Drosophila melanogaster: one gene and its partners. The protein of the gene in region 1 interacts with the protein of each later gene in a pairwise test. Each region holds a gene or a part of one and is shown on either strand. Other genes may lie near its edges.

What was found.
Region 2: the proteins of CG5376 (region 1) and l(2)k01209 interact in a two-hybrid assay, tested with the Drosophila melanogaster proteins (one large-scale study listed by BioGRID).
Region 3: the proteins of CG5376 (region 1) and CG5111 interact in a two-hybrid assay, tested with the Drosophila melanogaster proteins (one large-scale study listed by BioGRID).

Annotation. Positions count from the first base shown.
Region 1 is NT_033777.3:22,487,166-22,490,741, reverse strand, and holds CG5376 (uncharacterized protein), read left to right. Parts: upstream 1-1,786; 5' UTR 1,787-1,859; coding exon 1,860-2,057; intron 2,058-2,108; coding exon 2,109-2,531; intron 2,532-2,591; coding exon 2,592-2,660; 3' UTR 2,661-2,709; downstream 2,710-3,576. Other genes in the region: CCT1 (chaperonin containing TCP1 subunit 1), read left to right, coding at 1-820, 884-1,439; Pfdn5 (prefoldin 5), read right to left, coding at 2,764-2,961, 3,023-3,232, 3,350-3,448.
Region 2 is NT_033778.4:17,418,596-17,426,614, forward strand, and holds l(2)k01209 (lethal (2) k01209), read left to right. Parts: upstream 1-1,811; 5' UTR 1,812-1,913; coding exon of another isoform or gene 1,914-1,978; exon of another isoform or gene 1,979-2,852; 5' UTR 2,853-3,091; coding exon 3,092-3,351; intron 3,352-5,060; coding exon 5,061-5,368; intron 5,369-5,432; coding exon 5,433-5,539; intron 5,540-5,602; coding exon 5,603-5,910; intron 5,911-5,977; coding exon 5,978-6,164; intron 6,165-6,223; coding exon 6,224-6,817; intron 6,818-6,874; coding exon 6,875-6,991; 3' UTR 6,992-7,084; downstream 7,085-8,019. Other genes in the region: cnk (connector enhancer of ksr), read right to left, coding at 1-429, 489-652, 816-873; CG6550 (uncharacterized protein), read right to left, coding at 7,108-7,776, 7,837-8,019.
Region 3 is NT_033777.3:25,504,502-25,509,214, forward strand, and holds CG5111 (uncharacterized protein), read left to right. Parts: upstream 1-1,773; 5' UTR 1,774-1,862; coding exon 1,863-3,707; 3' UTR 3,708-3,778; downstream 3,779-4,713. Other genes in the region: CG5107 (uncharacterized protein), read left to right, coding at 716-778, 839-1,417.

The DNA of each region.
Region 1 (3,576 bases):
CCGCTGAGCTGCTGAAAAACGCCGACGAGCTGGTCAAGCAGAAGATTCATCCTACCTCCATAATCTCCGGCTACCGCATTGCCTGCAAGGAGGCCTGCAAGTACATCTCGGAGCATCTGACCGCTCCCGTTGATGAGCTGGGCCGCGATTCCCTGATTAACATTGCCAAGACCTCGATGAGCTCCAAGATCATTGGTGCTGACGCAGAGTTCTTCTCAGCCATGGTTGTGGACGCTGCCCAGTCGGTGAAAATCACAGATCCCCGTGGGCAGGCAGCCTATTCGATTAAAGCCATCAATGTCCTGAAGGCCCATGGCAAGTCTGCCAGGGAATCGGTGCTGATTCCCGGCTATGCCTTGAACTGCACAATTGCCTCCCAGCAGATGCCCAAGAAGATTGTGAACGCCAAGATTGCCTGCCTAGACTTCTCGCTGCAGAAGACCAAGATGAAGATGGGTGTCCAGGTCTTGATCAATGATCCCGACAAGCTGGAGGCTATTCGTGCCCGTGAGCTGGACATTACCAAGGAGCGCATCAACATGATCCTCGGAACCGGTGTCAATGTAGTACTGGTTAGCGGCGGCGTTGATGATTTGTGCATGAAGTACTTCGTTGAGGCTGGAGCCATGGCTGTGCGTCGTGTGAAGAAGAGCGATCTGAAGATCATTGCTAAGGCTACCGGCGCCGCCTTTATTACCTCGCTGACCAACATGGACGGTGAGGAGAGCTTCGATGCCTCAATGGTGGGAGAGGCCGCAGAGGTGGCCCAGGAGCGCATCTGCGATGATGAACTTATCCTCATCAAGGGCACTAAGGCACGGTAAGTGCAGATTATATCATGCAGTAACATAGTTTGCTTTATCGTATCCCTATGCCTTTTTAGTGCTGCCGCATCCATTATCTTGCGTGGTCCCAATGACTTCTACTGTGATGAGATGGAGCGCTCCGTCCACGACGCTCTGTGCGTGGTGAAGCGTGTGCTGGAGAGCAAGAAGGTTGTAGCCGGCGGCGGCTGTGTGGAGGCTGCTTTGTCGATCTACCTGGAGAACTTTGCCACCTCGCTGGCTTCCCGCGAACAGCTGGCCATTGCCGAATTCGCAAAGTCGCTGCTGGTCATTCCCAAGACTCTGTCCGTGAACGCGGCCAAGGATGCCACTGATCTAGTGGCCAAGCTCCGCTCCTACCACAACTCCAGCCAGACGAAGCCCGAGCGTTCGGATCTTAAGTGGACCGGTCTGGATCTGATCGAGGGAGTGGTAAGGGACAACAAGAAGGCTGGAGTTTTGGAGCCCGCCATGTCCAAGATCAAGTCGCTGAAGTTCGCCACGGAGGCCGCCATTACCATTTTGCGTATTGACGACATGATCAAGCTGAATCCGGAGGACAAGAGCGGCAAGAGTTACGCCGATGCATGCGCTGCCGGCGAGCTGGACGGTTAGACATTCTTCACCGCGAGCGAAGCACATTTCTTCTATCTTGTTTAGGCATTTAATTTTAATCAAATCACTCACTTTCAATTGTCGCCCCATTGATTGTAACAACAATTTAATTGTGTTGCCCTTCGCGATCTGTATTAACACCGCACATCCGCAATCCTTTCTCATCCATGCTTCAATGTATAATAAACTGATCTTCAGAATATGCTGAGGCGTAAACTAAATTGGAGGGAAACAGTTTGTTATTTCGGGAGAGCGATCTGGCCAAGAGCAGGCAGAGAGCGATCCGGAGAGTGGGATGTCCTATAAATAGAGCGTGCATCTATTTGGTCTATTAATACAAAAAGAAAACACATCCCAAAAAGCACGGAAAACGCACATTGCTCTACGAATTTTTATCATTTAAAAAGAATTCTTCATAAAATGGCCGATCATAACGAAGATGAAGCTGTTGGCGGTGACCTAAACAACAATATAACAGCAAATGGGCAGGAGGAAGTGCGTCAGCCGGAGCAGCCGCAGAACGAACTGCTGGACATGGTTTTCACGTTGGAAAGCGAAAAACAGGCACTACTAGAGGAGTCTCGCAAACGGATCGGAGCGCTCCGCAAAGACTTTGAGGTTAGTTACTCGTCTCCACGGGCTGCACCCACTTACTGACCCTGATTGCAGGAAGCCAAGGCGGAAAATGAGCGTTTAAAGCGGAGAGTGGTCCAGTTGGAGCAGTCGCTCAAGCAGTCCGTCATGCTGGGCGGCACAGATGCTCCCAAATCACGACAAGAGCAGGAGGAGCTGCTTCTAAAGGCCAAAACCCTGCTGTTCGAGAAGACCAAGGTGAACAAACAGCAGGAGCAGCAGATATCAGTGCTTAGGACACAAGTAGACTCGATTAAGGATGTGCTGCAGGTGACCAAGGACATGTTGCAGCTAAAGACCGCCGAATGTGATCACACGCAGGCTCGTCTGGAGAAGAGCCAGCAGTGGATCAAGGCGGAGCAAGACAAGTGTGTGCTCACGGAGAAGAAACTAGCCATCTCCAAAGGAGTGTATGACAAGCTGCGTTCGGAGTACGACACCCAGTCACAGATATTCAAGGTGCCTTATAACTCGAGTCCAATGATATACTTGATATACTATTACCTTCTTTCCCTACAGGATCTTAAGTCCGCGTACGAGCAGAAGGTCAAGGTTCTCACCAAGGCTTTGGCAGAAGCCAAGAAATAGCTGAACAATTTAATAAACTACGTTAATTAAATGCACACATCTCGTTAATAAGTTTAATAATTTAATGCTTTCCGTGTCTCGTGTCTCTGTCGTTCTCCGTAGTCTAGGAGCTCTGGGTAACCGCCGGCTGCGATTGCTGCTGCGACTGCAATTTCGCTGCAGCAGCCTGCTTCATCTCCAGCACACTCATCACTGAGTTATAGAAGCGCGTCTTTTGCAGGTGGATCTTTTCGATTTTCTCGATCTGCTCCTGCACGTACTCCACGCGTCGCTTGAAGTAGTCTTTGGAGCCTTCCAGATCCTGTTTGAGAAACAGATGGCAATCAATAAATATTCTAGGTTCGATTGGAAATGTAAATCACCTTTTCAATGTAGTAGCCGGTGCCGATGTCTATGACGAACCTGTTGAGATCCTTGACCCGTCCTGGCACATACATACTGCTGGTCAGGGGCACCAGGATCTGACGGTTCTCCCAATTGGGTTGAAAGGTTCCCAGCGCCTCCTTGGATCCGGCGTACTTGGCTTGACAGCCGTGAAGCGTCGACAGCGAGTCCTGTACGTTGGTAATCTCCTAAGGATCACAAAAATGTACCGATTTTAGAAGCATGTGCCAATTGGGGCGCCCCTCCTCCAGAAACCCCCTCCGCGAGCACACTTGACTCATCACACACCCACATGCGGAACGCACCTGCTCGAACTCCTGCTTGATCTGAATCAGCTGTTCCGGACTCAACTTGGTCAGGTCGATCATCTCGGACTTGGCGGGTGCGCTTGGGGTGGCAGCCATTGCTAGTGCTTACACTTATAATTTACAATTCCACTTTTATTTTATTCAGTCGCCGTATAAGGTTGCCACCTTTGCGTATTCAACTCAACAGGGATGTCATGAAGCTGGGTCAGAAAATATCGATTTCA
Region 2 (8,019 bases), on another chromosome or scaffold:
ACCCAACTCGGATTCGCGTTTTTTAAGGGTGACAAGGTTCAGAGAGGCTGGCTGCAGTACCATGGGATCAGATATGTCCTGGATTACAAAGTTGGCAAGATTCTCGAGCCGTTCCGCTGACTGTCGAATCGCTGGCACCGGCTGCAGGGCAAAACGATCACGGTGGGCAATTGTGGCCAGCTCCAGGCCGCATTTGAGCACATTGCCACAATACTCGCGGTACATCTCCTGCTTACGGAACGGTGTTCGCTCCAGGCTGCCCACCAATGGCTTTAGAGTAGCTATCGTCCTGGTAATATCGTGCAGTATCCGGGTATCGATCTTAGTGCTCTCCGCATGATTCCTGGCCAGTTCGCGATGCAGATTCTTAGCTGCCGTGGCCACATGCAAGGCCATGAACTGCAGATTGTCGTTTTTCAGGTGATAATGCTGGAATATCAAGCTCAATTAACGGGTTTGTATGTCACAATATTTGTTTGGGGTCTCACGAAGTTTCTTAAGTTCTCCACCGCCTCCAGCACGATCTCCTGATGGCCAATGCGCAGCATGCCCAGATTCTCCAGCTCGTATGGCCGTATGTTGAGCAACGCCCGTCCGCCGATCTCCTGCTTGGAGAACTCGTACAAATACCCCTTCATAGACTCATCCAGACCTGCGAGAATCAGGAAAACATAATTATTATGATGTGCCTGTTGAAACCTTGAACAAAGCGGAAATTCTTGTTGCACTTGTTGTTGCTGCTGCTTTTTGGGGCAGTGGCTGCGAGATGCAGTTTTTTTTTTCTCAGCTGCGCTTTCCTTGACCTCGAGCATTACCTTTTATCCAGTCGGTGACCTGGTCGGGCGTCCACTCGGCGATGTTGATGTAGGCCATCGCTGCTGCTGCTGATGATCCGCGCTGGGCCGCACCTACGGCATATTATCAATTCGTGCTGCAAAAACACTCGAACCAAGTTCAGAATTGCTATATTGTTGCGTCTCTCTGGTCCGGAGTGACCATCTTTTAGAGCTCGAACAATACTCGGTGCTCGTTAAATACTATCGAACTAGCGTGGCAATCGATTATTTAATGCATTTTAAAACTGAACAAAATGCAATTTATTCAAAGTTTCTTTAAGGGACAGAACAAGAGGAAAGAAAACTATAAATTATGATACTACTACATACTACTTTCTCCATCCAAGATAGCCAGGAAACAGCCACATGTTTCTGTATGTGTTTATTTTTATAGTCTTAATTAATATGAATTTGGCTTGCAGTGCAAGAGAGTAAGAGTAACAGTTATCGATAGAGGACCAACAAAAAATAATCGAATTGGTAATTGTCTCATGTTGATATATTTTCCGAGCACTACCGCTATTTACAACCTTTTATTTGTTAGTACCTAAAGATCATGTTGTAAGCTAATCTTTTAGAAACCACAAAGTTTTATGTAAAATATTCACTTATATTGACACAAGCTCGAAGTAATAATTATCAAACATTTAAAAACCCCGCTTCGGATTTAGCCATTCACATTCGAATTTACTGCAACCCAACAGCCAACAGCGCTTCGCAACACTGTCGCCGCCCCAATCAAACAGCTGAGCGCCTTGCGAATGGAATTGAATTGCCCCAAAACATATAAATAAATGCCTCAATGACAGCATCAAATGGAGATAAACAAGGCAATGAGCGTCCCTCCGCTCCAGTGCCTTTCCCCAGCTGACAATTAGCACTTTACTTGACCATTCAAGCTCGGGTAGATGTATACATATGTATGTATACGAAGGCGGCGCACGTTTTTCCAACGCAATGCCTTCAGAAACGAATCAGTCACTTGCTCGGAGAGGGAGAGGCACGACGAAGTAAATCACCGCGTGTTTTTTTCTAATCGCTGCAACTGGCTGCTGCAATCACTATTCTCTTGTCGAAATGTCTGTGACCCAGACGAAACAAATCAAGTTCTACAACCCATCGAGTTCCGCTAGCTCCGACAGGTAACGAACGACTTTTTAATGCCGCATTAATTCACGCACGGCCAAAAGTAAAGTGTGAAAATCCAACAGAAGTCATTAGAATGTGATACACACTCACACACACACCCGCGCACAAACATATCTAAAGAGCATGTGCTCCAAGTCATTCATCGTATGTACGTACGTACCTACTTACATGTGTGCGTCGTGGGGCCTCTAATCACGCAATATAAATAAATGCTGGGAAAATGGCATAGGGCCTGCGTTCGCAAACACCACTACATGTGCAAACGCATAACATGTGATAAATTCAATTTCGATATAGTCGCCGGTTGCATCGGATCGGAAGAGAGTGTGAGAGAGAAGGCAAAGCGAACACCCTGCGAGAACAGTTACAAGCTAGGGATGGGCGCGTCAGCGAGTAACTTGTAATGTTGCAGTTTGAAAAAATAATATTCATACCACAGAAACATTATTAAAATAACTTTGGTGCGATCCGTGGAATGCTATAAAAAATTACTTGTGTATAAGTATATGTAGCGTGAAATATTTTATGATTTTATGCGCCTAAAAATTAGAATATTTTTTTCTCTAACAAATTAAATATCCTTCACTTAACAAAAGTAAAAGAGACATTTGTTATGCAAATTTGGCTAAAATGTAGAGCACATCTTCGACTGAGTCGTGTCACGCCAAACCTCATGTACCACATGCCCACCTCTATGAAGGCTTGCGACAACAACAATGCAGAGACGACGCCGGCAGAGGAAACCGCAGCGCAGCGCAGCTTTTTAACCTTAGCTGCCTTAACACTTTTTCTTGTCATTCAATCCCCAAACGCCGCTCACCTCGCACTTCTCGCTACACCTTTGGCTTAATTTTTTGTTTTCATTAGTTATCGAATAAATATTGGCCGCAACGCAAAAGGTGAATCGCTGCGTACGAAATAAAAACTCTAAATCACATGTGATCCACGCCGGCGGCGATTCGCGTGAGCGTTGTGTGAGTGAGTGACCCATTTTGGCTTGGCATCGCCGGTTGCTGTGTTCTTGCTGCCTCCACATCCAAGTTCTCACGCCCACGCCGACGGACTGAGTGATTCAAAATCGCTGGCAGATCGGGATCGGGCTAAAAATGAGCAGCATCACGTTTTTGTGCAGCAAGTCGGGCCACAACACCAACAACAACAGCATTAATAGTAGCAATAACGATGTTCCAAAAGGGGCAAAAGCGAACTCAGCATTTGCAGCCGCATCCGCCGGTTTACTAACCATCGCAAACCACCAGCAGCAACAGCTACTTCAGCAACCACATCAACAGCAGCAGCAACAACAACAACAGCATCATCAGCAGTCAAAGGTTAAGGCTATAGCAGCCAAAACCAATGGTCACATGTAATTCATTGCATTTTCCCCATTTCTTAACGTAAAAACCAATCGAAGTCCCATTTTACATACCAGACGTTCATATATGTATGTTTGTACATTCATTTGTAGAGAGGCATATTTGTGTGTGTGTGTTTGTATTTGAGTGCTTTTTGTTGTTTCTGTTGTGTGTGTTATTTACCGCCATTCTAATTGTTTTGGTGCTGCGCTTGTTTGTCCAGTCTCCCGTTTCGCGACGTCTCTTTCTATTCTCAGTGTTTAATTAACGCTTGCTGTGTTTAACATTGTTTATTGAGTCTGCCGCGCGGCAAGTAACAACAAATGGTGAAACGATGATAGCGTCAGCAAGTGCTCTCTCGATTCTTCAACATGGCAGCGATCACAACAACACACATGAGCCACGTTTGCCATTTCCAGTTCCCTTAGCCTCCCTTTGGCTCCCAATGTCCTGCATCTCCCTCGCCAGGAAACTCCCGCTTGCCGTCCTTGTCCCACCCGCCTGGAAGGCCATAACCTGTTGGTTCCTTTTTTGGGAAGAGCACGGCACACGTGGCAAGCGCTCATCTCTCGCTTCTTTTGTTGGTGTGCAAAAACTAAAAATATGCGGAGGAATCTCGTCTGTGGCGTCACCAGATTGTTGGCCCCACACTGAGAGAAAAATGAAACATTTTTGATTCTTCTAAATTTACATTTTATCACAAGTACCCCAAACTTATTTTAATATTTATCGTTTTTATGTTATGATAAATATTGTTCTAAAATTTTGACAACATTTTTTGACCTTCTGCAGAATTCTAAAAAAATATATCCTCAGTTTTTTCTTTCCGTGTGGTGAATTTCATTTTGGTACGCAAATGAAGAGCAGAAGATACAGAGAAAGGCGGAAAGAATGAGTGCAACGAACGCGCCTACGCAGCATTCGATAAATGGATACGTCTAGCGTTGCTTTGTCTGCCGGCCCCTGTTTTCTTATTTTTGAAATCTTCCCAGAATTGTATGATGAGTGTTTTTGCATGTACTTGGCCCTAGTTATTGTCTATTATTATTGTTTTAACGGCCAACTTCTTTCTAGATATTACTTACTAGTATTAGATATCAACCCATCATGATCATATCGTATTTCATGCCAAATCACAAATATTCCCATATCATATTACTGCATATTCCTGCAATACTTTTGCTATACCAACGTGATTTATAAAGGGAGCTGTAAATGTAACGTATTAGCTGTTCTCATTGAAAGCCATATAAGAATTAACCTGATAATACGTAACGATGTTATCTTCTATCACATTCAATTAAGGCCTCAAGTAACTTGTCTATTTATAGAACATATTGAGCAGTAGATTAATTTTACGTCGACGATATGCCTGGTTTCTCGCGTTTGTGTGGGTGTCAATACGTGTGCAGATGGGGGCTGTTAAAGTAGAGTAGGTCAGTGAGTATACTGCATCCTTGAACTTATAGCTTTAAGCTTGCATTGCAATAGCTGGTACGGCATGGTAGAAATTTCACTAACACGTTCTGTAATCTACTCTTTCGTACATATCAAAATATTTAAAATTATTATGAAATTAATCAGTGCTAGGTGATAAAAATGTTATCTCATGGCTAATCACTGAATTCCAATTATTTTACTTGTGGCTAACGTCATCGTTAAATGGTGGGAGTGTAGAACTTGATAATCGCCAACTAATCTATATACGTACTATTTGCAGCGATGACCGTTCACTCTCGGATGTCACAGAGCAACTCTATGTGGATCCGTATGCCGACCTAAGCAATGGCTTGCCCGGGGATCTCAACTGCTGTCCGGCCTCGCCCACCACAGTGCCTGCTAAAGCATCGTTGGATTCGCCTCTTAAACGTTCCGGTAGGAGACAGCGAACCACATCCATTGGCAACCAGACCACCACAGCGAATCCGTCCGAATGCATCATACGCGCAAATAACCGCACGATCTACACGGCCGGACGACCGCCGTGGTACAATTGTGCTGGGCAACAGGTGGAGCCCTTCGTCATAGGTAAACACATCACTCCCAAAAAACAAATCTTTCTAGTCTCTCTAATGTGCTTAATTTCCTTCAGGAATCTGCGGCGGTAGTGCCTCTGGCAAGACCACAGTGGCTGAGAAAATCATCGAAAGCCTAGACGTTCCATGGGTAACACTGTTGTCCATGGACTGTTTCTACAAGGTTGGAGAATTATAATTTAGTTGACGAAATACATTGACTGAATTCATTATGTTAATCCTGTAGATCCTTAATGAGAAACAGCATGAGCAGGCCCTGATCAACGAATATAACTTCGATCACCCGGATGCCTTCGACATCGAGCTGCTGCTGGACGTGCTCACCAAGCTGAAGGAGGGCCGAAAGGTGGAAGTTCCTGTCTATAATTTTGTGACACATGGTCGTGAGAGCCAAACGAAAACCATGTACGGGGCCAATGTGATCATCTTCGAGGGTATTCTTACCTTTCATAGTCCTGAAGTACTTAAATTGCTAGACATGAAGATATTTGTGGACACAGATCCCGATATTCGTCTGGCCAGGCGGTTAAGAAGGTATGTGATGGTTCTCGGCTCTGCCTACCTTGATTATCATATTTTGTTATCAATTGTTCAATTTTAGGGACATCTCTCAGCGCGGACGAGACCTCAAGGGCGTGCTGAAGCAATACCTTAATATGGTTAAGCCCTCCTATTGCAATTACATAGCTCCAACAATGGCCCATGCAGATATCATTGTTCCTCGTGGAGGCGACAACAAGGTGGCCATCCATCTCATTGTTCAGCACGTGCACACACAGCTGCAACTGGTATGAATTGCCTGCTTGCGGTGCTGTTCACCTTGTTAATTTGTCTGTCTGTCTTCCAGCGCGGATTTAAGCTGCGCGAAACTCTGGCCAACTCCTACAAGGACCAGCCAATGCCACATTCTCTGCACTTGCTGCATCCCACGCCCCAAATAAAGGGCCTGCACACGTTCATCCGTTGCCGAAATACGTCCCGCGATGAGTTTATTTTTTACTCAAAGCGCCTGATACGGCTAGTCATTGAATATGCGCTAAGCTTATTTCCCTTTAAGAAAACAACAGTGGAGACTCCACAAGGTGTCCTTTACGAGGGCAAGCGTATGGAATCGCGAAAAATATGCGGCGTCTCAATTCTCCGAGCTGGTGAAACAATGGAACAAGCCGTTTGTGATGTGTGCAAGGACATTCGCATCGGAAAGATCCTCATCCAGACCAATCTTAAGACCGGCGAGCCGGAGCTTTACTACCTGAGGCTGCCTAAAGACATAAAAGACTACAAGGTGATACTAATGGATGCCACCGTGGCCACAGGAGCAGCGGCCATGATGGCCATTCGGGTGCTGCTGGATCACGATGTACCCGAGGACAACATTATCTTGGCCTCGCTTTTGATGGCTGAGATCGGTGTGCACTCCATTGCCTATGCCTTCCCAAAGGTGAGATTGACACTAAATTCCAAAAGCCGGCATTTATTTATGTTCTTCTTTATGTAGGTGAAAATTGTTACTTCCGCTCTGGATCCGGAGATTAATAGTAAGTTTTATGTTATACCCGGCATTGGTAACTTTGGCGATCGCTACTTTGGCACGGAACCCTCTGATGAGTACTAAGGAGATCTGGGCCAATCCATACCTATATGGAACCATCAAGTTTCTAATGTATCTTAGGTTAAGTTCAAAACGTTACTTAAATTATGAATTTGGAACGAGATGTTTTATTGATGTGGCTATAAGAGTCGAACTACAAGCTGTATGAGGAAAGCAAGACTTCCCAACACCAAAGCGATGCCAAAATAGCGTTGGATTAGTCTTTCCCGACTCCTGGTTTGCACTTGAACGTTTGGTAACTCCTGATTTTTTGCACACCTCGTCCAATCGCGTTCGTCGTCTAAAATTTCTCCCACCATGCTAAACTTGCTCGCACTGGTAATTCGCACATGGACACGAGTACCAAGAAGGTTATCCCGCATGGGCAGCAGTACTTGCTCGTAGCTCTTGTTGTGGCCCACGTAATGGAGCTTGTCGTGTGAAACTTCTGTGACCAAGACGGTGTATATTTCACCCACTCTGTCCGCATAGGGTTCATAGCTGTAGAAGAGATCCGTGAGACGTTTAGTTCGTTTCTTCACCAGGTTTGCGGGGATGCGATCCATCTTAGCAGCTGGTGTGCCCGGACGAGGGAAGAACTGATTGATGAACAGACTGGGAAAGCGATATTTGGCGCAAAGGGTCATCGTCTCCTCGAAATCGTCTTCTGTCTCTGTTGGGAAACCACAAATTATATCCGTGGCAATCGTGACACCGGGAACTCGTTCCCTTAAGAAATCCACAACGTGCTCAAAGTCCTGCCGACAGTACTCTCGTTTCATCTCGCCCAGCACAGAGTCACTACCACTCTATAAAAAGAAATAATTGACTATCGAAAAATATTTATATATATTACACTCGATCCTTACCTGTACAGGAACATGTAAAAAGGAGTAGACTCTCGGGTGCTGCAAGACGTTGGCCACTTCCTCGAGATGCTCCAGTATATACGGTGGATTGGTCATGCCTACACGCAACATGCAGTGCTCGGGGATCACTTCCACCAGTTGCCAGAGCAATTCCGGCAATGAGCTTCCAATATCTCGACCATA
Region 3 (4,713 bases), 3.0 Mb from region 1:
GTTGTCGCGGGTAGCCGGAAACTTTCTTTTGTATGTTGGAAATGTCTTGGACCTGGTGGCAGTGTCTTATTTTCCACACACCCCTAGTGGGAGTTATTAACCCTTAACCACACGTTACCATTTATAACCCGAACAAAGTGAACCGAGCGCGTTAAGCTGACAATGGCAACAAATTTTTTTCCTTTTGCCGTCTATTGTGCCCGGAAAATCTGGTGGCAGCCACCATTCAATTGTGGTTCTTTTCCTCTTTGTCTGCGGTTTATGGCTTTTAATTCGTTCTGAGCCTCGATTCTTAAGGGTGCCCAAGTGAATTTCGCACTGACATCAACGGATATTGTGTGATAATTGCCACAAGAAAAATATTCGACATTTTTAGAGCGTACATTTCGTTTGCATTTAAATGGGAAAATTAATTAATCATTTCAGATTTGTATTCATTTAAAACACTTCAATTGAGCAATATGAAAATTAACCGATCGAAAATGTATATTTTAAGTATCTTAAGTGGCTGATAAGTGCTGATAGATAGATACATATAAGTACTTTTGAGGTAGGTAGATTGATTACACATTTCTAGATGATAGCCGTATAAAAAAAAGGTATTAGATAGTTGGAGTGGGCAATTCGATTAATTTCTGATAAGACGTAGTTTTCAGCGGGTATATAAACTGATCTTCACTACTGGCCGAGAAAATATTATTAATTGGACAGTAAAATGAAAGCCATCACCGTTTGCCTTTTGGTTCTGGTTTCGGCCACCTGTCTGCTGACCACGCGGGTAAGATTTGCCAATTAAAAAAAAATTAACTTAAATATAATAAATATTTCTTTGTTTCAGGCCAATGCAATAGAATTGCTGGAGAACGAGAACTTCGACTATGATTTCGACTTTGAATCGGAATTGGAGCAGTTGCTGGATGAACTGGACAATGACACTGACTACATGGATGTGGAGGCACAGGGCTTTATTAGAACATGCCTTAAAATCCTTCGCAAGGCATTGAAAACGGTTCGAGGCACCAACTGTATTATCAAGGAGGTGACAAACATCCTTAGTTCATGCACCAGCTATGTGGATGCTATTGATGCCTGTGGCACTGCCATTCCCAAGGATGTGGCCAAGATTGTGGACTCCGTTAAGGAGATTATCAAAATCTGCGACGATATTTTGCATCTGCATTCGAAACTTTGTGCCACGGATAAGTCCGTGGGCTCGTCCATCAAAAACTCGGCCAAATGCTTCTGGAAATTGTTCAAGGCATCCATGAGGCTGACCCGAAAGATCAATAAAACCCTAAAACTGATTGCCAAATTGCCAGCCGATACCAGTTCCTGCTTCGTAAATGCCACCAATAAAGTTACAGCGTCCTTTAACTCTTTTCTGCCCAACATTGATGTCTGCATCGAGTCTATGTAAATATATTATTATTAAAAAATAAAAAACTCTTAAGCTTACAGCAGATTAGATTTCAATTCTCGAGCCTTTGTTCCCAACAACCTATGAACAATAATATAGTGATTTGATTGAAAATAAATTTTGTTTCATTATGATAAGATAACTTCAATTTCCAACTATGAGCCGAACTGAAGCGATTCGATTAAGATTCGTTAATAAATACAATCGGTATCTAGAGAGGGTTCTTGAACAGCTTTATACTGATATGGAAAATTAATTGTAATTAATTATAAATTGCAATTAAAGGGATTTAACTTACGTCTCTGAATTTATAATAATTTAGCATTTTTTAGCATTTAGCAAAAACAGATGTTAAGGTAACACTGAAAGAGCACTGTCAGAGTTGAAAATGTTCGTCATAAATTTAGAAATTATTTAGTTCGATTCGGGCACGACAGCACGAAACATGTCCCAGATAAACAATATATTCATTAAGCTGCGAGCTCGTCTGCGGGAGCGTGATATCAAGTTGTGGGAGGAGCCGTACTACTTCGAGGAGGTGGGCAGCATCGAGTCGGAGATGGACCGCCTGGCCAGGGACATCAGTGGCGAACTGGGCATCAGTGTGTCGGACTGCAGAATTGCCTTGGGCGAATTGCAAGATGGTGCCTTGCGGAAGCTGGCGGCTCGCCGAGAGTTCAATGACACCGGATTGGCCACGTTCAATGTGCGGTGTGTGGACAGCAAGGGTGGCACCGTGCAAATGCTGGAGATCAAGTGTTCGCTGGGTGGACTGGGCTCGGATCTGCAAGCTGAGGTGGCCAAGAAGTTGGATATCGTTGATTCCAGTCATGTGAAATGCATCTCCGGAGGACGCATCATCAATGGGCAGAAGACACTGGCCTCGCAGGGGCTCAAAACCAATCAGCACCTCATGGTGGTTGTGGGTGGAACTAATGAAGGTCAGGAGTTGCACGAACGTATCCAAAGGATTCGTGCGGACTTGGAGTTAGTTGCGGATGCAGATCGCTTTATGGAAATGGAGGATCAGGATGGACGTCCAATTTTCTTGCCACGCGAGGAAAATCGATCCCTATTGATGGCCATGAGCATGTACGAAGTGGCCAGAGTTGCCATGCATAAGGAGAACTTCGATGAGGCTCTACTCATCCTACTCGAGGCCGATGAACTCTTCTCCCAATGTGACTCAAAGCTCCTGGAAGGAGTGGATAACTATGCCTTAATCAATCTAGATATTGTTTGGTGCTATCTGCGCCTGAAGAACATCACCCAACTGCCAGATGCACAGCGACGTTTGGATATTTGCGAGAGGGGCTTTGTCAAGAGCTATGGCGAGCAGTTCATTCGATTGTTCTCGATTAAGGGTCCAAGTAGCCCGGAAAGAGCTTTGATCATGAGACTGCACCTGCTCCAAGGTGTGCTCCTCTTTCACCAAAATCGCCGGGATGAGGCCTACGAAAAACTGGAGGTGGCGACAAAGGACTTGTATGAGGTCAAGATGAATGACACTGAGCTAAGCACTCTCGTTGAAATGGGCTATGAGGAATCGGATGCCAGGTTGGCCTTGAGATCCTGTGCGGGCCAAGTGGATAGGGCCATTCAATATATCCAGGAACGCAGCGAGAGAATCAGTGAGGAGCGAAAGAACTCGGCTGCCGAGAGGCAAGTCAACCAAGAGATGATTTTCGCCGGTCAAGGAGGAGAATGGGTCAATCCACGCAGCATTATTAGGCTCATGGAAATGGGCTACGAAAGGCGTTTGGTTGTGGAGGCTCTGAAGAGGACCAAAAATAATCTCGATCGCAGTTTGGATCTACTGCAGCGTCATTCAGATGAACTTAGGGCCAATCTGCCGCCCATTCCTCCTGTCGATGAATCGTTACTTACTACTCTACAGCACCTTGGATTTTCGGAGATTTCCGCTCGAGATGCTTTGGAAACTACGGGCAACAGTTTCCATAAATCTCTGAAATTTCTATTGAAAAGTTTCCCCAACGAATCGGAATTACTTCATGTTATTGAAACCATGACAAAAGTTTTGGAGGTTCAAGAACCTACGAGCTCAACTAATGCGACTGCAAATAGCACCACCCCACTCGTAAACTTATCCAACAGCAAGGTGAACTTGCTCCAGACTGTCCTTAGCGAGGCCAAGTCGGAGATTGAGTCTTACAATGCCTTCAAGAGATTCAACGAGAACCTCGCCGAGAACAACAACCACTACTTAAACTTGCCCTTGGATCAGGAGGAGCAAATTCTGATCGAGTATAAACGTTTGCTCGAGGGCTAATAAGAAAAAAATAAGATTTTTTTTAAATATTTGTAAATCAAAAAACAGGCAATAAATAAGTACGTACAAATATTTATTGTTGCTTTGTTATATTTTTAACATCTTTTCTCACCATGTTACCATTTCATTTCACAGCCATTCCACTATAGTCTGAATGGTACCTTTTTGTGGCCAAAATTAATAACATAACAGCTAGTCAATTAAATAAAAAAAAAATAAAAAAAATCCAGCTTATAGTGCGTCCCTTCAAAAACTCAAATACTTATTGCCCAGCAAAGTATGCTATGCATTTTGGTTGCTGATGTGGCTGCTGCTATTTGCTCACTCATGTGCATAACGTCACAGTTTTTCACAATTTTGTGTATGTGTGTGTGTGCGCGTGCTCTTTGCGTGTGGCTGACTTTGTGAAAATTAATAAGTTTTCAGACCCTCTCGCCAATCTGCCAATGCCATGCGAAAGTTCTGCAGATGATGGCCAAATAATTTGTCGTCCTGTTTTGTGGCGTTATTTCCAAATCGTTAAACCTAAAATAAACTCCGCTCAGCTTATTTCACTCTTCCATTTCTTTCTTCATTTCGTGTTTTTTTTTTTTCGGTTTACGTTGATTTATTATATATGCGAAATGGCGCACACATTTTGAGTGGCTGACATTTTCACTTGACTGCGATTTCCTTCGCTTCTTCACGGCTAAATCGAGCATTTCACAAAAAATACAACCACACCGAAAAGCCATTTTGCAGATTGTTTTCTACTTTTATAGGTGAGCAGCTGTCTGGAAGGATTAATCTTTCGAACGAACTTTTTATATTATTTATTTAATTTATGTAATGAATTTTTTTAATAATACAGAATGATATTTATGTAGGAGGGCAAGTACTTGGGTGGACTCTCTCTTTAAAATAATACGTTTCTTTAACGAGTTCGCCCTCTTTCTTGTTTCAATAAGTCCTTGCGTTGTGGCACGAAAATGCAAAAGAAATTGTTAAGCAAAAATCGCGCAAAAAA